Lepisosteus oculatus: one gene and its partner. The protein of the gene in region 1 binds, or shares a complex with, the protein of each later gene. Links are inferred from orthologs where the notes say so. Each region holds a gene or a part of one and is shown on either strand. Other genes may lie near its edges.

The links.
Region 2: the proteins of synaptosomal-associated protein 25 (region 1) and vamp2 are in contact, whole or in part, in a crystal structure (PDB 1SFC), measured with the Rattus norvegicus proteins. The link is inferred for Lepisosteus oculatus from reciprocal best matches to the Homo sapiens genes SNAP25 and VAMP2. Residues at the interface, in NP_112253.1 of Rattus norvegicus: Gly131, Gly132, Phe133, Ile134, Arg135, Arg136, Asn139, Leu150, Glu151, Ser154, Ile157, Gly158, Leu160, Arg161, Ala164, Leu165, Met167, Gly168, Ile171, Asp172, Gln174, Asn175, Ile178, Asp179, Ile181, Met182, Ala185, Asp186, Asn188, Lys189; in NP_036795.1 of Rattus norvegicus: Asn25, Thr27, Ser28, Asn29, Arg30, Arg31, Leu32, Thr35, Gln38, Val39, Glu41, Val42, Ile45, Met46, Asn49, Lys52, Val53, Glu55, Arg56, Lys59, Leu60, Glu62, Leu63, Arg66, Ala69, Leu70, Gly73, Ala74, Gln76, Phe77.

What each region holds. Positions count from the first base shown.
Region 1 is NC_090698.1:1,851,591-1,863,379, reverse strand, and holds the start of synaptosomal-associated protein 25, read right to left. Parts: upstream 4,427-11,789; 5' UTR 4,270-4,426; intron 1-4,269. Other genes in the region: calpain small subunit 1, read right to left, coding at 8,158-8,184, 8,464-8,522, 9,204-9,320, 11,478-11,556.
Region 2 is NC_090698.1:9,314,198-9,325,895, forward strand, and holds the start of vamp2 (vesicle-associated membrane protein 2), read left to right. Parts: upstream 1-5,897; 5' UTR 5,898-6,216; coding exon 6,217-6,218; intron 6,219-9,888; coding exon 9,889-10,012; intron 10,013-11,231; coding exon 11,232-11,390; intron 11,391-11,698. Other genes in the region: aurkb (aurora kinase B), read left to right, coding at 1-62, 155-328. UniProt on the Homo sapiens protein: Involved in the targeting and/or fusion of transport vesicles to their target membrane. Major SNARE protein of synaptic vesicles which mediates fusion of synaptic vesicles to release neurotransmitters.

The DNA of each region.
Region 1 (11,789 bases):
CTACCAAAATAAACTTTAGTCCACAACAGACATCTTACAATGAGTACACACTCTAACAAACCATAAACCTCTACTCAATTAAAAAAATATCGGGTGATTGTCCATTTTCAATCAAAGCAAGTGGATTCTGGGGCTGGATTTGCACAATAAAAAGAGTTCCTCTGAGCCCCACCACTTACTGTTTTCAATGTCATGTTGAAATGTTGCAACTAACACTTGTCTTTTGGCATACAGTATGCTGATCTACAGTACATCTTTGGTGCAGTCAATTCATTTTTTTCCCTCTTTGTTCAGGGTGAAGTGAGAATCGCCTTCACCAGGTGTAAATTTGCTGTCACAAAGAAAGAGGAGCTCTTGAAAAGGAGTGAGCTAATGAGTGTCTGCCTCGAGGGCCAGGGAAGCTCCCTGCGGGCGTCTCTGCATGGCCTCGTATTGACACCCAGCAGCCCCGCTGGGCGCAGACTGTCTCCCTCGCGGGGGCCCGGCTGGCAGGAGGTGCTCCTTGCAGAGAGGAGATGTTCTCCAGGAGCTGCGAGTTCCTGACACCCTGCAGCCTGCTGGCACGGCGCCCAGCGGGCAGACCATCATTACTGCTCTCACAGCCATGGGCCCAAGAGCCCGGCCACACAGTAACGCCAAGCACGGCAGATCTTTACTCATCCGCATGGCACACGGGCAGCACCAGCACCTCACAGCACCAGGGTTCTGGGTTCGACTCCGGCTCTGTATTCTGCACGATTGCATGGGTTTTCCCCAGGTTCTCTGGCTTCCTCCCATTAGCACCTCTGAATCGTGTCCTTTAAGCGTGCCCTGGGTGCCCTGTGACAGACTGGCACCCTGTCCGGGGTGTAGCCACAGCTGGGCCCTGTGCCTGTCGGGTCATGCTCGAGCCCAGCAGAATACAAAAGGATGGGCGAACGTACTGCACCTACAGTATACCTCTCCACTGACGTCTGAACAATCCGACTGGAATAAAACTAGGAAAATGGCTTTTTTAGAGAGCGTTGGGGTAACTGCTGACTTCATATGTTTGTGAAGTGAATACATAACCCCCCCTCCACCCCTGTTAAAAATACCCATGGCGAGGAATTAGCTCCAGCACAATGAGATTCCTGCAGTTCCAGCAGGGAGCAGAGCAGTGCCATTATAAATAGCTTCCATTAAAAAGCCACTTCGCAGCAACAAACATTCACCTGGCTTTCCTGAATTTCTTTACACTTTCTGCATTCCGTTTTCTCGCAGGGAATCTGCACCTGTGCTGCTGTTCAAACACTCTACCCTTTCGAACTGTCCGGCGGAGAGGGAAAGAGCGCGCGCTAAATCTGAAGATACACAGGTGGGGATTTTAAATATTGCACAGTGTGACTGGAAAATAAGATTAATACATCATCACATGGCAGGAGTGATGTGCCACTTTTATCTTAAGCCCTGTTCACAATATTTAACAGAAAGGATCAAAAGACTATATTTATCTGAGTAAACAATCCATCACACCCTGAGCTTCTTTTTTATTTCCTTGTGAAACACCCGTCTCCTGTGTCGAAGTCCTTGCTCCACAAGAGCAGTTCACAACAGTGGGCAGCAATTGAGAAGAAGGGCAGTGTGAACATAGACAAGGGATTAAAGCCACTGCTCTTGTCTCACCGCCTCAGCGGCTCCAGAAAATGCTGCAGAACTCAGAATTGCTTTAGGACATCGCTATAAGGTAGAACTTATTTTGAGACCCCGGCTACAATGGACTGCTCTGCTGACGATTATAAAGAAAAAGTCTACACAAAAGCAATAAAGCTCCCAGCTGGGACTGTTTAAAGAGCGAGCAGGGCAGTACTTCAATAGCAAACATCTGTTGCTGAAATGCATTATTCATGAAGACCATGCTCTTTATTCAGAAGAAGTGTGCAGCACTTTGTCACCATACTTCTCCATTTCAACCCATTTACAACCCATTAACGCTGCGCATTAGACTGCTGTTGAGGTACAGGTCTGCCTCTGCCTGGAATTAGCACCTGCATCAGTCTAAGCCCTGTGTGTTTTAGGACAGCGCAGTGCACGTTTATTTCTCTTTTCCCAACACAGTATCCCGCAGCACTGCGGAGACAGCCAAAGCATCTGCTGCACGCTTGCTTTCTGTTCTCTAAGACTGGGGAACTGGGCACCACACATCCGCTTCAGCAGAAACATCCCTCTCGGAAAGCCTGCCATTTACAAGGAGACTCGCAAGACAGGGAAATGTGCACAGATGTGTTTTTACACAAACACCTACATGGAGCTGCCAGACCACCTTATCCTCCGCCCCACAGAAGAGAACTGTGCAGGCTGTGGGACACCACATTCTCCCTGACAGGGCTCTCTGTTGGGCACAGCAGCACTTAACTGACACTCAGTCTGGTGAGATTTTCCTGGATGGTTTCCTAAAGCACATTCAGACATCTGTTTGCCATTAATTTAACATTTCGCAGGCACTGCAATGTTGAAAGGCAGGCATGGACATTCGCTGCCCCAGAGGCTCCCATGCGAAGGGCAGGTGAAGACCTTAACGCACAGAGAATGGCCTTGACCGCTTCTGGGGCGCCCCTCCAGCAAAGCTATACAGCTATACAGCTATGGAGCTCCTGGGGCGAAGCACCTCACTCAGGGCACATCAGCACTGCCCGCGTCAGGGTCTCGAACCCACAGCCAGTCTGTTCCACTACACTGCAGAAGTTTTATCTATGCAGAAGGAAGTTTCTTACTTCTAATGTAGAAACTCAGGAGTCTCCTCGTTGCGATCTATTTTCATCAGGGGTCACATGCTGTTGCTGGGAAGGCTGGAGGAGATGACTTGGCATGTGCTGGGTTTCAAAATGACTTCATCGGTGGGAAATGCCCCCCCGGCAAAAGATCATCGTGATCGTGAATAATCAAATTAGGCGTTTTGTTTATTTTAATGCTGATGATCGTTTGTTCGAAATTCTGAACCAGTTGACCTTTTAAAGGTTGCTCACATGTGAACTATGAGGTGCTGGTTGTTCACACTGATGGTGATGAGCCATTTAAAATCTCAAGTAGGGAGCTGGATCAGCAAGCATTTAGCATTTAAGGTTTATTCCTTGCTAAGAAGAGATCAAAAGAAGCACAATGTTTTAGCGGTGGAGCTTTCTTATGGCGTCTTCAACAGTAAAGAAAAAACCTTTACTTGTTCATTTAAAATCTCTGAACTTCACCCCTAATGACAAGCGTTTTTCTACTACGTCTTTTCTTTTACACTTCACAGAATCGATTTTTAGATGTGGTGCTCCTCCTAGGTTACTCCTGCTCCTTAATATGCTTGATCATGATGTGGGGTGCAGCAGGCAGGGCTGAGGCTCAGGACTCCCAGCTGCAAGCCGGCGTGCTCCAGTGCCAGACAAGACGCTGCTGCTCACTGTACTCGGGCCGAGGTACTTCACTCAGAAGCGCCTGCAAAATGCCCAGCTCTCTGAATGGATACACAAGTAAACCGCTTAGGATGTCCGCCTCAACCATAAAATTAATTATAGGAAAAGGTAACTCAATTATCTGAAATGCGCTCGCCGTTGGTTTAGGCGATTTTGAACATGTTGTTCAGACGGGTTTCCATGCCCGGCTAACTCAATCCGAGTTATCCCCGGGATCAATCGGCGACCACAGCTGTATCGACCAATGCCCAGCTGTGGAGTCTGCGCCGGTCCGGGGACACTAGGAGAACAGCCGCTGGAAACAGCGCAAATTCTAATCTTTTAGGAGTAACAAACATGCAGTCCAGTTTACGGCCAACAACAACAACAACAACAATGATCAAAACAACTTGGTTATTGGCAAGTTTTATCAATCCACCCTGAACTGAGACAATGTTACTTGAAATATTCGCATATGACAAGCACGCGAATATCTATCCGGCCGAACCGTCTCTCCGCAGGAAAACACGAAAATGCGACCAGTGCAGCCAGTACATCTGCTTCGAGCACAACCAGCGCTCGGCTCCTTCTCCCATCTCATAACGCCCCCAAACAGCTCCAGCGAAGCGACTTCCAGAATTCACCTCGAGCACGAACCCAGAGTTAAAAACACAGGTGAAAGGGGACGGGTTGCCTCTTTCACTCGTTCTAACCTGAGAGGCAACCGGGATCTGTGTACGTTATCTGACCCCGTGCTGGCCAGTCATTTCAGAAATTATTTAACGAAAAGTTCGCTTTCAGTTACCGGAAACAAAAACAAAGTTAGGGAAGAAACTTGTGTTTTACAAGTTAACTGCCGGCATGACGTTCTTACCTGTGGATGCGGGCTGTTTTCCTAGTCCCTGTGAGGCTGGAGACGAGAAAGGGCTCAGCCACCTGTATTTGCTCGCCGCCTCTGTGCCTCCGCCAGCGTGCAGTCTCCGATCTCGCTTCCTGCAGGTGCCGCAGACGCGTCTGCGATTGGAACGGCTGCGGTGGCAGTCAGCCCAGAGGTGGGGGTGGGGCCGAGCGCTATAGGCTCGCCCCAGTGAGCTTCAGCCCCTCCTCCCGGGCGGGGTCCGGCCCACGAAGCGCTCGGAGGCAGGTTGCCCCGGCAACTCGCACCTGCGAGCGTCACCTGCGGCGTGTGGCCGAGCTGGCCGGGGGGCCGGCCTGATGGTTTCGCGGGACGTGCGGTGTGCCAAGGCTGTGGGTCAAACCCGTGCAGCTGAGTGGGCAGCTGTCTTGTCGATAATTGAAGTCCCGCTCAGGGCTTTACAGGGCCTGTAAAAGGATACTGTGTTTGCACCCTGTTAAATCCCAGGCTCTCTCCCTATCTGTGTGCTGTGTCTCTCATGGAGAGCAAGCTGGGGTATGCGAAAAGATAATTCCTAATGCAAGAAATTGTATAGGGCTAATAAAGTAATGTTAAAAAATCGGCAACCACGCGTTCAGATGATTTTAAGTGATATGTTGGGCTGAAATGTTTTTGTAACGCGACGTTCTGTTATTTACAGCTGCTCCTGTTGATATTTGACTGAAGTGTTTTGCTCACGGGTAGAACACCTGTGTCCCACCTGCGGGGATTTGAACCTGCAGCTCTGTAGCAGCTAGTCGAGAGTTTGTGGTCACGCCCTGCTCTCCATCGTGTGAAGAAAACTCATTTGCTATAATCAACACGTACAAACCATCCGAACCGAATTTTACCCTTGGAGAAACCTCCGGTATAATTCTTATTCACGCATTGAAATGATATAATTAATATCATTTACAGCTGTAAGCTGTAACAAAAAAAGTTTCACGTGGTCTTCAGTTCAAAGGCGTGGCCAGTCCTGCGATGGCAGAAGTCGCTGGAGATAACAAATGAAAGATTACAATATAGACGTTTTTCGTTTTTTCATTCCGTCGCATTATTTTCAACGCTGAATATTTTTCACATGCTTTGGCAATCACAAGTTATTAACTGTTTGCACGTTACAGTGTGTATATGGAGAGTATTTGAAATATATATATAAAACAACTTTTCCTGTCTGCTCCTGGACTGACACAAAAGACAAAAAGGCTCATTGTAAACGGCGGCCCGAAGTGTGTGTGAACGCGCGTCATCAATCATGACTCAACATGGAAAGAATTGAACTCTTAGGATTCAGGAGATTAGACAGCAATCAGAGCCCAGAGTCTGTTTTAATATAGGTCCTTATCTTTTCCTGAACAGCCGAGCATCACGCCGTCAGGGACTGGAACTGAGCTAATAGCGCGGTCTGCTTTTGGGTCTTATTGAAACAGGAACTGTCGTCAGAGTCACGTAGACCGCCAAACAGCCGCTGCATTTACAAACTGAAGTGGGCAGTGCCTCGTCTTCAATGGGTAAAGGGTTTTCTGATCGGTGCTCGCTTAAAAGGTGACCTTTACGACACCAGAAAGGGCTCCGGCGCCGCTCGGCGACAGCTGTGCTGTGCGGAAAGTCCCTCTCGCTGCGTGTGCGCGGCTTCATGCGCGCCTGCGACTCTAAACTGTACCTGCTGCTCTCACGGAGTTCTGCCATTCATGGAAAACACTCCATCGCTACTGCTGTCCACTTCGCGTTCACCTGTTCGTCACACCTTTCTGATATCGATATCGATACTCGTAAAACGCAGATTCTTTCCGGTTTTGTTTCCCGGAGATGGAAAACTGCGAACTGGCGTGGAGGTCACGGCCGCCGGGCAGCTGGTGTCGGGCAGGGATCCGAAGTGCCGTTCAGCTCTGTTTGTAGTTGGCTCTGTCTAGCCCGCTCCTTATTCCTCACTCCATCCACACGTTTTCTGACCGCTTTATCCAAATCAGGGCCCCAGCAAGCAACGGGCTCAAGGCACGGCACACCACGGTCGGGACACCAGTCCATCACGGGTCACACACACACGGACACAAACACCCACGCGCTCGCACCAGAGCCAAAATTCCCAGCAGCCAATTAACACACCAGTACCCACCAGAGCACATGTGAACACGGGGAGAACATAGAGACTCCACGCAGACAGCATCAGAAATCGAACCCAGGGCCCCGGCACTGAGGGGCAGCACCACTACACCTCTGTAACTGACACTTACTTTAGTTTTAATTTTAGTAACATATCTAGTTTAGCACTTGGAAGTTTAAACTAGTTTCAATCTGTTGGTGAAAGGTCATAGAAATGATATACATACTTTTTTTTTACGTATATCTGAAGATGTATATACCTGAAGAAGGCTCCACAGCCAAAATGCTGCATTTCCTTTCTTTTCAGCCTGGAATAAACCCGTTACCTGTTCCTTTGCAGACTTTTTTATAATAGTTATGTTAGAATAAGGTCTAACATATGGGTGTATTTGTGGGTAACAGTGAAAGGGCTACTGTCCACCTTTTACCCAATTCGCAAATCAATCCCCAGCTCTTCAACATGCTTGAGCTCTACATTCAACACGAGCTCCAAACATTCATTTTGTGAAATTAATTTCCAAACTTGTCACTAGAGTATACTATCTCAACAAAGCAACTTCCTAGATCAATTAAGGCTTCAGTGATCTAATGAAGGTGGGCTGGGATGAAACCCAGCAGGTGTGTGGGTCACCAGGACCAGGACTGGGAACCGCTGCAAGAAAGGAAGGCACAGGGCACAGCTCCAGTCTTCGAGGGCTAGAGCCACTTCAAATCATCACCTGTCAAACTAGAAACTGGTGCCCTTAAGCTACGACCAGGCCGGGGAAGCCGGGGAACAGAAGTGGAACCTCTTGGTCTGGAGCAGTACACCACTGGGCTAAAGAAACTGGAAGGGTAGCAACTGATAATCATCCTTTTTTAATAACTGAGACTCCTCTTACACTTAATGTAAAATAATAATTGGAAAAAAAAAGGTATTTTACAAAACTTCTCTCTCTACTGGACGGAGTTAGAAGAACAGCCAATGCTCAAGCAGCTGAAATCCAGAACAGTTGCTGCTCTTGTGCAAGGTGGCCACCTACTGCTAGAACTGAGCACTGCAGCTGCCGAGGTCAGAACAAAAGCCATTTCAGGAGGCACTCTGTAGCGAACAGCACAGGAATGAGACAGGACACACAGGCTTGTCTGGACAGCAGGAGTGTACAGGGGTGTCAGACTCAGGTCCTGGAGGGCCTAGTGTCTTTGGGGTTTTGTTCCAACCTAAGTTATCAATCAAACACCTTAATTATTTTTTACTTAACACGTACAGTATAGGATGTTTAAGGTCTTTTACAGTTGATAAAACGTTCACTCCATTCAAAGCTCAATTACCTATAAAACTTTGTAGACACTCTGGGGCCATGTTGGAAATGGTCTAATTACACACCTGAATCCACTACGTCCACTAGAACAAAGCACCGGGCCTTCCAAGAAGGAGTTCGACACCCCCTGCTGTAAAGAGCTCATTAAGCTTTAAGTAAAAAAAAAACTGGAAACCCTCCACTAAATCTATTTTCAAAACAATGTCATCATTTACAAAACACAACGTCTCTAATGTTTCTGGACCTCCTCCAAATAAGCCAGTTAAAATAAGAAAAAAAAAAGCTTTAATGGTTTTAAACTACATCTGCCACTAGGTATGAGTATACATGCACAGTACAGGTGAGAGGGCCAGGAGCTGGTGTTAAGCACATTGCAGGTTGTAATGTGGCACAGGGCAGTTACACAGAGGGTGGGTTGGTTCTATGGCTTCTTTCTGTGCAGGCACTGTATCTGCGTCGCTGTTCAAGAATACATTGTCAGCTGCAGCCACTGAAAATGGGAAAAAAAACAGATGTTAGCTCTGCGCACACCATCTTCTGGTACAGAGACTTCTTAAAGAAATTTGTGCTGTTGGAGTTTTACTGTCCGCTCATATTCTCTGTGTTTGCAGGTGTTCTTTGTGGACATGCAGGACAACATTGACATTGACGAGAAAAACTGCTTGAAAATACCTTGAACAGTGGAAAGTGAAGCTGAAGGAATTTGAAGAGTAACAAGGTCAATATCAAGGGCATACTGTATCACCGGTCACTGACATAGCATATTTACCTCCTGAATATTGACTTTAATGATTCCATTATCATCCTTGTCCAGGGTTTTGAATGCACCTGAAATTACAAAATGGTAACATTATTTAAAATCTCCAAATGGCACACTTTGCTGAAATGGTAAAATAAAAGCAACAGAAAAAACCGCCACGAAGCATCTCCTGGGTTTTTCTAATGTTTAAGAAGTGTATTCACCCCTCCTCCTAGACAGGTCCTTCACGAACTGTACATTGAAATATATCCAGCTGCTTTTCTGGGTCTTTTTGAATCTCCAGTAGCTGATGGCTGTGGAGAATGGACCACTTGCTCTGTCAAACCTAATGTAAATGAGTTTCACCCTTCTGCCAGGGGCAGGGCTGTTAATGACTTAAGGAGATACAAAAAAAAAAAAACTGCTGGATTCCAGGTGTTGAGAGCAACTGCCAACCCAGAGCATGGGAAAACAAAACACAGTCACAAGACAGCGGCAAAAAGATACCGTGCACCGTACTGTCAAACCCTCTTCAGTGCCTTTGATCAGGTGAGAGCGACGGGTTCAGTGGCCAGTGTTCATGAATTACACTCCCTCTGCACTCTTGTGCAATGGAGGAGTCTTCAGCAGAATGCTGCCATCCTGGACGAGGAATATGTCATGTGTTCCTTCTCTCTAGCCTGAGCAACTCTGGAGCAGCTGGAGTCCTGTGCGGTTGTGCCCCGGGCCTGGCCGTGCGGCGCCCGGCGGAGAGAGGCCTCGGTACTCACGGCACATGGCGTCCAGCCGCACCAGACAGCCGATGTAGTTGTCGAAGTCCATGTTCCCGTTGTCGTCGCTGTAGCGGCGGGTGATCATCTGGAAGAGCTGGTCGTTGAGAGGGAAGCCTGCGTGTGGGGGAGGGGACAGGGGACAGCTCGTTAGCGACGAACTCATCAGGGCTTCCCCGGCGAGCCCTGGTTTCCCTTCTCGTGCAGAACAGAGACGCAGCGGTTTCCTTTCAAACCGAGGAGTAACAGGAGGGCTGGGGGATGCTGCAGCTGCAGGTTCAGCGTTTCAGCACAGCTATTCCTCTTTTTGCACAAGCTCATTCTCAGCTGCAGGTTTAGAGTCATGTGCAAGGATTGCTCAGCCTTTGCAAACGGTAGAAGAACGAAGATCAGCTCAGCTCTACATCCACACCTCTGTACAGGTCTTAGCCATCTCGGGCACAACCAGAAGTTACAACAGGGGAGCTGCAGTAAAAGGGGTAGATTTCCCCTTGTCAGTTCTCCCCTCAATTTCTGTGTCCCGATCTGCGCTGCTTTTCGTTTGTTACTGCAAATCGTAATGCAGAACCTCATTGTTTTATCACTTCAGAAGTTACATTTGGAACATTTGAAGCTAACATTCTTTTCAAAAGTTAAATATTTCATTTATAAACAGGACAAGAAGAAAGAATTAGCAAGAAACCAGATTTGCATTTGATTAACAATTCAGTTTAAGGCTACTTTTTTTGTTAACATATAGTGCATATTCTCCACACAGCTGGAGTTAGTGAAGTTAGAACGTTCTATAGCCTTAACTATTAGCCCAAAACATCTTATAGTGTTTTATGCTATTCCAACTGTTTGGATTTTTATTAATGCACTTAGTAAAAACAAAACTCAAATCGGCAATGTCCGAATATTCAGAAACCTGAGCAGAACAACTCAGGGTAAACTAGGCAAGAACAATAAATATTAGGTGACAGAATACCTAATCCATTACTTTCACCTATCATATCTCACTGACTCACTCTCGGGTAACATCGTTCCACTTGACATATTCACAAAGTTAGAAAGATGTATTTTGCAGCACAAAATACAGATCAGGATTATCTTAGCTTTCAGCACAATTGCTAAAGTATAAATACAAAACCACCATAGAATTGTGCTTCTTCTTAAAAGAGCAGAAAAATGCAAACTTCTTCTGCACAGCAGTGTGCCTCAGACAATCAATTGATTATTGAGACAGCACCCGCTGCCCAGATCATAGAGCTTCCCTTGTTAAAATGAATACACTGTGTTGTTGTCATACTTATCAGACATTGTCCTCATTAAGGATTCCTTCAGTATTACTGATGGCCTCGTGATGCAGAGGCACTTATTGAAGACAATTTAATAACAATAACTTGCATTTGTATACTGCCTTATATCCCAAAGCGCTTTTGCATAGTTTGCAAAGCTTTATTCAGGTAAGTAAGGACAAGTACATGACCCAAGGCAATAACACTAACAGCACATGAGAAGTGCCACACAACAATGTCCTGGAAGGAGATTATGTTAAATGAAACAAAGTTCTCACTGGCCTCCTGTCCCCCATCCTCCTACACATCCTTTTTTATGCTTCAAAAAGTAATAATTAATAATAATAATAATTTACATAGTGCTTTGCTGGACACTCCACTCAAAGCACTTTCCAGGTAATGGGGATCCCCTCCACCACCACCAGTGTGCAGCCCCACCAGGATGATGCGACGGCAGCCATAGTGCGCCAGAATCCTCCCCACACACCAGCTCTCAGTGGGGAGGAGAACAGAGTAATGTAGCCAATTCATAGATGGGGATTATTAGGAGGCCATGATTGGTAAGGGCCAATGGGAAATTTGGCCAGGACGCCGGGGTTACACTCCTACTCTTTTTGAGAAACGCCCTGGGATTTTTAATGACCACAGAGAGTCAGGACCCCGGTTTTATATCTCATCCAAAGGACAGCGCCCATTAACAGTATAGTGTTCCCATCACTATACTGGGGCATTAGGACCCACATGGACCGCAGGGTGAGCGCCCCCTGCTGGCCCCACTAACACCTCTTCCAGCAGCAGCCTCTGCTTTCCCAGGAGTCTCCCATCCAGGTACTGACCAGGCTCACACCAGCTGAGCTCCAGGGGGCTGCCAGTTGTGAGTTGCAGAGTGATATGGCCGCTGGATAATTCCTAAAATGCATGTGATGCAGCAGCTTGAAATAGCCATCATTTTTTCCCCACAAGGAAACGGGAGGCTTCATGCCGTGTCAGCCCTTACCTGCAGCTTTGAAAGCTGCGGGAAGCTCATTAGCACTGATGAGACCGGATCTGTCAGCATCATACTGCTTGTAGATTGCCTGTAAAAACATGACATCTACCTCAGTGAGGAAGCAGGGGAGAACAACATCTTTCACACGCAAGACGGTTGGTCAGCACTGTTGTCTGTGACCGTTTCCTTCACAGAGGATTTTAAGGGTTGTGTGGAGCACAAGTGTTAAAGATCTGCAGTGGCTTGGCAGCATCAATGTGAACACAGCTGCAGTTCTGTGAGTTTGTGGTCATTTCAGGTTTCAGGTCATTTCAGAACTTT
Region 2 (11,698 bases), about 7.5 Mb from region 1:
TGGTGGGGAACCCCCCTTTCGAGACCTCCAGCCACACTGAGACCTACAAGAGGATCACCAAGGTGGGGGTCGAAGCCCTGTGGTCTAAGGGCAGCCCAGGGGTGTAGCTGCTTGGCCTTCGCCTCTCGGCTGACTGCCCCCTCTCTCTCTCCAGGTGGATCTCCACTTCCCCAAGACGGTGTCGGAGGGCGCGCGGGACCTGATCTCCAAGCTGCTGCGCCACAGCCCCACCATGCGGCTCTCGCTGAAGGGCGTGCAGGAGCACCCCTGGGTCAAGAGCAACTCCCGCCGCGTGCTGCCCCCCGTCTTCACCCCCAAGAAAGCCTAACTGGGGCATCTGCCGGCGCCTGTGGGACGCATCGTGGCCTTTCTTGCGGTCTGCACGCCTGGCCGGGAAACGAAACCCTGCTGCTGTCCGAATCTCCACTCCAGGGAACTGCAGCTCTTTGTGCAGAGCCTCTCCAATCCAACCTTCACTGAACCTCCACATACAATACAGCAGCGCCCCTGCAGAAAACCAACCTGCCCCTCTGGAGGTGGGGGTGGGGGGGCTCATCCTGATCTGCAGTCATTTCTCTCGAACCTCAGCTACTTTTCATCCCTGTTCCCTCTGCTCTGTGGGTTTTAGCACCTGTACCATCTGTGTGGGCTCTGCTGGAAACAACTGGCTGGCGCCCCCTGGTGTCGGGGAGGTGGAGGTGTTCCTCAGGACCTGAAGCCTTGGACCTCAACAGCAGGACAGGATCTTTGCTGTGAGGTTGTTTGAAGAACAGGGACTGTCTTGACCGGTCTTTTAGTTTTTGGAGTTGTAGTATCTCACTGTCTCTGTTAATAGCCATTCCTGGAACTTGTTATTCTGGCTGAAAAAAAAAATTTTATGCAGGTTTATGAAAAGTCTTCCACGGTCAAAGGCACAGTATGCCGTTCTTGTATGTCTTGTCTTATATATGTTGTCTGAATGTTCTCTGTTGTATCCCAATGTAAATAAATTATACTGGAGATCCCAGCATGCTAAGTGTTGGCCTGGGGGTCCTCAAGGTGGCATTTTTGAATTACAGCTGTTTTGAGGAAGCTTTGCGGCTATCTGTAAGGGAAGAATATGCAATTTTCTGCCTTGAATTGTCTTGAAAGGAGTTAAGACAAGCTGGCTCAACCTGCCTTTTTTTAGTACGGAGACTGTGACCGCATTTTCTGGAATGTAGAGGCGCTCGGACTGCTTCAAGCAGTGCTGCCCAGCACCAGACCTAGTGCAGCCTGTAGGTTTTTATTTCAATTAATGAATCAACTGGCTTCATTGGAGCTGTATAACAGCTGCTGATTGATAGGTGATGCTTTATTTGGCGAATGAGAGTTCTGGTGCCAGTAAGCTGTTCTCATAGGGTTGGATTTGGAAATATTGAGGATTAGCGTGACTTCTTTTAGACTGTTGAAATCTACTGTTTTTATGTTTCGTCACCACTGGGATGTGTTTTAGAAAACCAATAAATTCTTTATACAATGTAAGGTGCTGGATGTTTCTTTATAGCTATTTACTGTGGGCTTTTAAAGGGTTTTCTTTTAACAGTGATGCAGGGCACAAGTAGAATAAAAAGCTCACAAGAGGTGCTGGACTGCACATACAATGTTATCTCTGCATTCAATTCCTGTGACTCCAGGAAAAGAGTGATCTGGTTTCCTGAGCCATGCTGCCATTTCCTGCTCTGGTTATTCCCCTTCTAGTGAGCAGGTTCACTGGTTTCTGCTGATCTTTTATCCATCAGCCTCCACTCCATCAGTTGGCTGTCGTTCTGTGCCATATGTTTTGCTCCCTCTTGGGAACATCCACCAATCCGTGTTTGAGACGAGGTTAAATTAGACCCAGTCGTGGAAGTTGTCGTGGTTGGCTCAAGACCATTCCCTTCATCTTGCTCGGGTTCACAGGGAGGGGTTTATGCCGTTTCTCTTGTGATGAAACGGCACCTCCAGTGGCAGGTCTGTCCGTCGCTGCAGAGCTTCAGTCCTGTGTGCAGTGCCGGGCTGTCTGCTCCAGGCTTGGGGTGTGCTGCACAAGGACCAGGAAGGATCTCGGTCTCTTCTGGGCGATTGTGCTCTGATTGGCGTTTGTGTCAGACCTGCTGTTTTTAATAATCTGGGACTCTGCATGATTTCAAACCAGGGAGAGATTTCTTCACAATCGCTGAGCATTTTTTCCAGCTATGGTGGTTTTGCCAAAAAAGGGTGACTATAGAAATTGCTGAATGTCTAGTGGTGGGATAAGTCTGACTTCCACCACACTTCAACTTGTAGTGTTTTAATTGGCCTGATTTCATTCTTGAGATCTCTTTGTTGTCCTACGTGCTCCTAGTAACGATGAAGCTTTCAGCTGGCTTTTGATATGTAAAAGTTAAATGCTGCTATATGCAGAATAATTCAAAAAGTTTGCAGTGAGTCAAATTTATTGGTTGAAAGAGGGGATTGGGGAGGGGGCGTCATCAGGAGTGTGGTTGCATAGGGGGGTCCTAAAGGCCTGGATTGGGCCAATGGCCTGGTTTGGGATGCAAGCAGAACGCCAGGCCTTTTGTTTGTGATTTAAAGTATACAGTTAAAAAATCTCATCTCGCCTCGCCTCCCCTCCACCCCTTCTGATGCTGCGACTGGCAGAGCACTGTGCCACTTTGAATTCCAAGATGCTGAAGGCGCTGTCGCCCGCTCGCTGCCAGCCTAAAAATAGCTGCCGTCAGGCCGGCACGGGCGGAGAGGAGTCGGGAGATTATCCGATGCGACAGTGGCAGCCCCCCCACTTTTCACACACGTCAAGTGCAGCAGTGTTGAGGGTGCGAAGTGGGTGCTGGGACCTAATTAACACCTGGGCCTGGTGTGAGAGCCTGGCTGCCTGGAATTCTTTCAATCCGAAGTTGAGGTGTTTGTGTAGGAGAGAAGAAGGGAAAAAAAGAGGCGAGAAGCAACTATCTTGTTGGCGATTCCCCCAGGATTCCTAGAGAATCCGTAGGCAGTGCAAGCACAGAAACGGGAGACGTGTGGATCCGTTTCGAACCAGATTTATGTTTATAAATCTTTTTGTTCTTGAGCTCTCCAAAGATGTTCAGCATTTTGGGTGCTTTGCAGTGGCAGAAAGAAGGAACGATGATAATTGCTTATGCTTATATAGTACTTTTCTGGACACTCTACTCAGAACACATCACAGGTAAAGGGGACTCCCCTCCACCACCACCACCACCACCACCACCACCACCACCCATGTGCAGCCCCACCTGGATGATGCAATGGCAGCCATAGTGCACCAGTACACCCACCACACACCAGCTGTCAGTGGAGAGGAGAACAGAGTGATGGAGCCAGTTCAGAGATGGGGATTATTAGGAGGCCATGACTGGTAAAGGCCTGCGGGAAATTTAGCAAACACCCCTATTCTTTTTGAGAAACACCCACACAGACCACAGGGTGAGCGCCCCCTGCTGGCCCTACTGACACCTCTTCCAGCAGCAACCTTAGCTTTTCCAGTAGGTCTCCCATCCAGCTACTGGCCAGGCTCACAGCTGTTGAGCTTCAGTAGGACTGCCAGTCGAGAGCTGCAGGGTGATATGGCTGCTGGTAAGCAGAGCCGGGAGAGAGCTTTCCTCTCAATGCATTGATCTGGTGCCCCAGGAGATCATTACTCAGGAGTAATGGGGAACAGATTCCATCACCAGATCTCCTCCAATTTCCTCCTACTCCCAGCTCAGATCCTCATTTTTTCTACCTGCTATCGACAGACACTGCCCTTCCTTGTAACAGCTGTCCGAATTAATCTTGTGGGCTACCAGAGAGTGTCGGTTTGTATTAAAGAGCTCAAGAGTGGAGACCGATCAGATGAGACCACTTCAGCACTTGTTTCTGATTTGTACATTAGTAACTCATCCAGAGTTTTCCTGAAAGACTCCAAGACGATAGTTTTGGTTTCGTAACTGGGCAGCTTGTTCCAGACTCCCACTGCCCTTTGTGTAAAGAGGTGCCTCCTACTCTTGAGTGTCGCATGCCGGCGACTTCGTATTCTCATTTTTGTTGATTGCTTTCAGTTATGTCAATTTATTTAGCAGAATTCAACCCTTATCTATTTTCTTATATATTTTTCGCCATCAGCATTGTAACTCGGCCAGCGCCTTGCATCGTCTATCTCTTAAGTGTTGTTGTTACGAATGCGACTGCGCCAGGCGGAGAGCGGGATCTGTGTTTTTCTGATTTACCACATATGGTAAAGGAATGGTACACGTCTGGATTAAATCGATCCTTTCCCTGGCAAATACTTTGTGTCTTAAAGAATTACGTCTTCTGCCCAAGCAAGATATTATGATGCCCTAATGTTTAGGTGCAAGCCTTTTGCGTGAATAACTGGTTTGCTGTGAAATCCGAGAGAAATAAATAAAAGAATTAAAGTTTGGAGTAGGCGCAAATAAAGTCATTCATACTTTTTCAGAGACGGCTCGTATGGTAGCGTGGCCGAGCGGTCTAAGGCGCTGGATTAAGGCTCCAGTCTCTTCGGGGGCGTGGGTTCGAATCCCACCGCTGCCAATAATCCATTTTAGTTTAAAATAGTTCAGAATTAGGATAGACAAGGAGATACCATCTGTGGTGATAGCAGTTTTACAGACTGTGCGGCAGCTTTGCTCATTTTTCTGCAGATCCCTAGCGTGAAGAAGCGCGGTCAGATCTGAAATCCCAGCTCTCTTTCCACATGCTCAGTCTGCAGGCTCTCGAGCTTGTTGCCTTCGGTCCAGTTAAGCAATGTTTTGGGGGGGGGGAAGGGTGGAGTGTAGGGGCGGGGAGAGGGCTGTCACGGAAAGGTCAATTTTTTGTTTTGTACCTGTTCAGATTTTATTTTCACAAAGCAACACACCCCGCTTCGGACGATTTGAATTCATCGCTCAGCCTTCGTGACGCGCTGAAACGTTCTAGAATTTGAGACGCGGGAGATGGATTTTATTTATTTGTTTGTTTGTTCAAAAAAGAAGGCCACGCTACGAGTTAAAAGTTGGGCGGCATCTTTCTGGCGCTGCCGACAGGTCCAGAAGCCAGAGAGCCAAGTCACTGCGCCGCCATTTTGTTGTGCCTCCCACGGTACCCTGGCTCTCTTTCCCGTCTTTCTCCTCTCTCGACATCGTTTCTCTGAGGCGTAAATACACCCTCCCTTCCCCGGTAACACTCCTGCGTTTAAAATACAGGACGCCCCTTCGTCTTTTTTCCAAACAATTCACGAAAATGAGACTTTTTGCAAAATACAGCGCCATGTATATGTATGGCCGTTATGTTACAGCGCCATCTTCCCTCATCCTCGTCATCTATTTGAAAAGCTGACAGGAAAACATTCAGGGGGAAAAAAAAACTATAACATGTAAACATTAGGACTAAGCCGTGTAATGAGAGCCGGGGCTTTGTGCGAGTGTGCGGGGGGGAGGCGGGGTGGGGCGACTCTTAACAGTGTGCAGGGAATGCAGGACTACAACAACAGGAAAAGATTTTTAAAAACTTTCCGACAATTAAGCGTTTTAACAAAAACAACGCCGCTGTTCGACTGTTTCGTGAGGAAACAGAAAAACGCACCCCAGGATAGACGGTTTGTCCCCTGAAAAAGCTGACATTAATGACAGACACAACTAAAAAAAAAAAGAAAAAACACCCCTTTATGAACTTGACCTATTGAAAATTCACCCAGACTGCTAGTACACTGTTAGTTCGTGTTCTGGAGAATAAAAAGAAGAAGCGCTAGTTCAGTAGATATTTTAAAAGTTTATTTTTTCCCGTCAATATAGCACGATTCCCAGTATATTGCCTACAGGTTATGCGATTCCAACCCCCCGCCCCCTCCATCTCTCCAGCTCCCCGGAGCTGCCCCGGATGACGGATGACGTCAACAGGCCATCTTTGTTCTCAGAGCCCAGCGCCTGTGTTTTTTTTTTTCCCAATATCCCTACAGCTCGAGCGCCTGGACCCATCCGCGCGCGAGGCAGCCATCCTCTCCCATCGATTTGCACGGTAGAAACTGAATAAATAAGACCGAAGACGGGGACAGGACCACCGCCTACAATATAAAGGGACACATCAGCGACCGCAGCGGGGGAACATAAAATACAAACATCGACAAAATCTGAACAGAATATTTAAAAAAAATATATTGACACCTATTCACAAGAAAAATAATCTAGAACGCCAGAAGCATATACTTAACAGACCACAAACGAGATGTGAGTACGAATAATTGGTTTTGCATGTAGGCGTTAGGTATAATATATATATATATTTGTATTTAATTGTCTGCTAAATGAGGATTTTCACAGGCGGGCGAGATGCAATGAATACACCCCAGGCTGCCCTACCCCTGCCCTCTCTCCGAATTGCCAGAAAGGGTCAGATAACGGGGCGGCAGAGTGGATATTTTCCGAGTGTCCTTTTATTTCACCACCGTATGAGAGGACAGAGAGAAATAATGAAGCGTCTTGTTTAAACGCAGTACTGTGTCACTCCGGACAGAACCAGCCCTTCGCGTTGTGTTGTACAGGAGCCGAGAAATGTTTGTAATTATTGTCACTTTTAATTTTGTTTTCCCCCCTAATCATCTCTTAGAAATACGCTTTCCTTTCGGCGAACAACACAAGCCTCTCTCGCCATCTCACGTGGGTTGGATGTAAACCATTTGTGTCGGGTTTCTAGCCGATTTTCTTCGGCGTTTTGAGTCGCAAAACAAGCGGCTTAGACGACTCCCTGCGCTGGTTTGCGAGAAGCGAGCGGGGGTCGCGGTTTTGGGTCAAGACGTTGATGGCGTTTGTGCCGACAGCGCTGTGGTTCCCTGTCTTACATGGGGGCGATATCCCGGGGTAATCGCGGCGCCCGTTCGTGGGCTTGTGTAGGGCTGTCACGGGAGGACGGAGAGGGGGCTGGGTGTGCGGTTCTGGACGGTCCGGGCGCCAGTGGACCGCATCCCCACCGAGGAAGGACTCCGTGTTTCCCGGCCGATCAGGGCCGGCTGCTGGGATTTCGGGATGGCGATATCACCCCCGGTCTCGACAGGTTGATCGCGACAGGGGAAGGAAAAGCAGTCTGGTTTGGATGCAGCCCGGTGCTCCTGACTGCGATGTGTTCGCCCACAGCTACACTGTAATGTAGCTCGGAAAGATGGACAGAAGACTCGACCTGACAGGTTTTCCGCTGCCCGTCGTTGTAATAAGGGATCTGGTTGCTTAGGCGTCCACTCTGATATTTGTTTTTGAAAGGGAGCAAACATGACTGTTTCAGAGGAGCACAATTTATATAAGATGTCAGAAATATGGAGGATGAGGGTGATGGTGATGACGATGATGGTGATGATGATGACGGGCAGAACGCTGTCATTTATAGCGCTGGCGACCGGGGGCTCGTGTCGGTCGTCCGCCGCCTCAGGTGACGGATCGGGAGCAGAGAGCGGACCGGCGGCCGGAGTCGGTTCTGTGAGCTTCACCGATCCAAAACGAGCGTGGAGCCGCAGGGATCGGGCGTGATTATGGAAATTTAACGATATATTTTTTTTTTAAAGAGGGGGTATTTTTGTATTCAGCGCTTCGTGAATGTGATTGTAATGTGATTGAGCGTGCAGGTTTTTTTTTTTGATGAATCACGCTTCTCGAATGAGCTACCCCCCTCCTCCTCCTCCTCCTCGCCCCCCCCGTCTCTCTCACCCTCTCTCCGGTTTAACGGAGAGGTAGGGCTCCACCATCCAGCCCACGACGCACTCGGGTGTATCCGCGCCGCCCCGAGAAGATGAGGTGTTGTCTTTTTAAAACCGGACACCCGAGGAGTACACGGGGGGGGTCGCGCCGGGTGGGCGGGCGGAAAGAGCTAACTTGTCATTCTCAGGCCCCGGGGTGTGAGTGTGCGCAGATCCCCCCATCTCCGCGTCCTGTCCCCTGCCTCCTGCCTCTCGCCTCTTCTTGCGTTGTAGCTCTCTGTCCGTCACTTACACGCCACTAATCTGCATGCAATCACAGCAAAGACAGGTTGCTCTTGCCTGGTATGTTCTCTGTGCCTTTGTTTACATGTGTCCATCCATATCTCTCAAAATATCAAGGGTGCCCTGTCTCGAATACACTTGGGCGAGAAGATCGCCGATATGTACCTGCAATACACACCTGAAATGCCGCACCGCATTTTTTTGGTTTTGTTTTCGCGGTGAGGTTGCGGCGTGTACTTCTGTATAAAAGCAAACCTCTCGTTCTGGGGATCCGTCTCTGACGTGACGCGTTCCTGCGTAGGGCACGAGAGCGCAGCTCGCCTCTCGCCTCTCGCCGGCGGGCGGGAGTGCGCGCCCGTGCGCGGCGCGTGTTGGCAGGGCCAGGCTCCGCTCTTCCAAGATGGCTGTGGCGTCAAACCCCTTGAGCAGCGCGGGGAGGAGGGGAGGGGGGGTGTTGTGTTTTTATTTCTTGGAAGAGGACGGATTTGCCGTCTAAAAATAGCTCGAGACGCGAATAGTGGTAGATCTGGAATCAAATGAAAGCAGAGGAATGAACACAATTTTATCAGAAGTCCAGTGGTATAGGTCCTGTGACAGTAACCCATGGCTATTTCACTTGGGGATTTCCGTATGAGCAGCATCTGGCTTTTGAGCAACACACCAAAGAAGAGGTTTAGTGTGGATTTTACACAGCACTCTGCACTGTGGGATTAACGTGACACCACTTAGAGGTGACCTTTATTCGGAATTCTGTCTCCCCCGGCTGGCTGGACTGTGTCATGGCGGGTCTTGCGCCAGAAGGCTCATGTTTACCATATTAATCACACAGCCAGTTGTCTGATGTTTTATTGGTAGTCACAGTCACAGGGATAGACTCTTATAGTCCCTGTGGAGTCCAGTACACTGACACAGCCCAGTCACAGGGCTCTAGACTCTTACAGTCCCTGTGGAGTCCAGTACACTGACACAGCCCAGTCACAGGGCTCTAGACTCTCACAGTCCCTGTGGAGTCCAGCACACTGACACAGCCCAGTCACAGGGCTCTAGACTCTTACAGTCCCTGTGGAGTCCAGTACACTGACACAGCCCAGTCACAGGGCTCTAGACTCTCACAGTCCCTGTGGAGTCCAGTACACTGACACAGCCCAGTCACAGGGATAGACTCTCACAGTCCCTGTGGAGTCCAGCACACTGACACAGCCCAGTCACAGGGCTCTAGACTCTCACGGTCCCTGTGGAGTCCAGCACACTGACACAGCCCAGTCACAGGGCTCTAGACTCTTACAGTCCCTGTGGAGTCCAGCACACTGACACAGCCCAGTCACAGGGCTCTAGACTCTCACAGTCCCTGTGGAGTCCGGCACACTGGCGCAGCCCAGTCACAGGGCTCTAGACTCTCACAGTCCCTGTGGAGTCCAGCACACTGACACAGCCCAGTCACAGGGCTCTAGACTCTCACAGTCCCTGTGGAGTCCAGCACACTGACACAGCCCAGTCACAGGGCTCTAGACTAGATTTATATAGGGTTTGGTTATTGTAGGTCCATACTTCCAGTGGAAAAGCCAAATTCCTGCCATCATTTTATGCTTTAAAGAAGAGAACAAGAATCCAAAGGACATTTACAAACATGTTTTTAGAGTGTTCACAGGTATCCAAAAGCTTGACCGATTTCAGGCTTAGTTGAAAGTCATGAATGTTGCTGACTCTACTTCATTTTTCCAATTGACAAAGAGGCCCACTGCTAGAATGGGAGTAGTGGCTTCTCCTGGTTGCCGCTCCCTGAGATGATGATGATCAGTTTGTGCTTTGACTGGGCTGGCATTCTGCTTCCATGAGAACGTCTGTTCTAACTGGTTGGCAGGCTGTGGTGTGGCTCTGCTGTGTCCTGCGCGAATGTGTGATAACCCCTGTTTTGACTGTTTGATTGACAGGTCTGCCCCGGCTGCCGCCCCAGCTGCTGCACCTGGAGAAGGGGGAGCTCCACCTGCCCCCCAGCAGCCCCCCAACCTCACCAGCAACCGACGCCTGCAGCAGACGCAGGCCCAGGTGGACGAGGTGAGCGGGCAGACGAGCGCATGGGCTGGCCGTGACAGACTCGCCCCCCGACAGACTGACTTGGCTCTCCTTGCTTTGACGGTCCTTCACGAACGCGCTGGCGGATCTCACGTGCTGAAACACCCGCAGATGTATGGGGATTCGCAGACACCAACAGACAGACTGAAGCTCTGAGCCATGCACTGATACAGAGAGTTTAGACCCAGTCAGATGTGCGGAGTGCTCAGATGCACTAATAGACCGACACAGGAATTGTCTCGAGTGGGAAGGGTGACAGCAGTAGATCCTGTACTGAGAGATTTGCCACTTCCTGTGGAGTCCAGTACACTGACACAGCCCAGTCACAGGGCTCTAGACTCTCACAGTCCCTGTGGAGTCCAGCACACTGACACAGCCCAGTCACAGGGCTCTAGACTCTCACAGTCCCTGTGGAGTCCAGTACACTGACACAGCCCAGTCACAGGGCTCTAGACTCTCACAGTCCCTGTGGAGTCCAGCACACTGACACAGCCCAGTCACAGGGCTCTAGACTCTCACAGTCCCTGTGGAGTCCAGCACACTGACACAGCCCAGTCACAGGGCTCTAGACTCTCACAGTCCCTGTGGAGTCCAGTACACTGACACAGCCCAGTCACAGGGCTCTAGACTCTCACAGTCCCTGTGGAGTCCAGTACACTGACACAGCCCAGTCACAGGGCTCTAGACTCTCACAGTCCCTGTGGAGTCCAGCACACTGACACAGCCCAGTCACAGGGCTCTAGACTCTCACAGTCCCTGTGGAGTCCAGTACACTGACACAGCCCAGTCACAGGGCTCTAGACTCTCACAGTCCCTGTGGAGTCCAGCACACTGACACAGCCCAGTCACAGGGCTCTAGACTCTCACAGTCCCTGTGGAGTCCAGTACACTGACACAGCCCAGTCACAGGGCTCTAGACTCTCACAGTCACTCTGGAGTCCAGTACACTGACTATGTGCAACTTCATTTTAATCTAAGTGAGCAAGAGTCACAAAGGGTGGCAGGAGCAGTAAACAATCTGCTCAGCCACAATGAGACCCTGGTGTCCTACAAGAGACAGCTGGAAATGGTCCTCTGATCAATTAGCTACAGACCACAAAAACTGTCCGGAAGTGCCGAATGGCCTCTCGTATGTGTCCTGCCTTCTTGAGTCGGCGGCTGCATCACCAGCGGCGCTCTGCCTCTCCGGCTGTCCCCGCAGGTGGTGGACATCATGCGCGTGAACGTGGACAAGGTCCTGGAGCGCGACCAGAAGCTGTCGGAGCTGGATGACCGGGCCGACGCGCTGCAGGCCGGGGCCTCGCAGTTCGAGACCAGCGCTGCCAAGCTGAAGCGCAAGTACTGGTGGAAGAACCTGAAGGTGAGGGGAGCCACTGTGGCAGGTGATAGCTGATATAATAATAATAAAGCCTTACACTTATACATATATATATAGCGCTTTTCTGGACACTCCACTCAAAGCGCTTTACAGGTCATAGGGATCCCTTCCACCACCACCAGTGTGCAGTCCCACCTGGATGATGCACCAGTACTCTCCCCACACACCAGCTCTCAGTGGGGAGGAGAACAGAGTGATGAAGCCAGTTCAGAGAGGGGGATTATTAGGAGGCCATGACTGATAAAGATCAGGGGGAAATGTGGCCAAGACACTTGGGTTAACACCCCTAC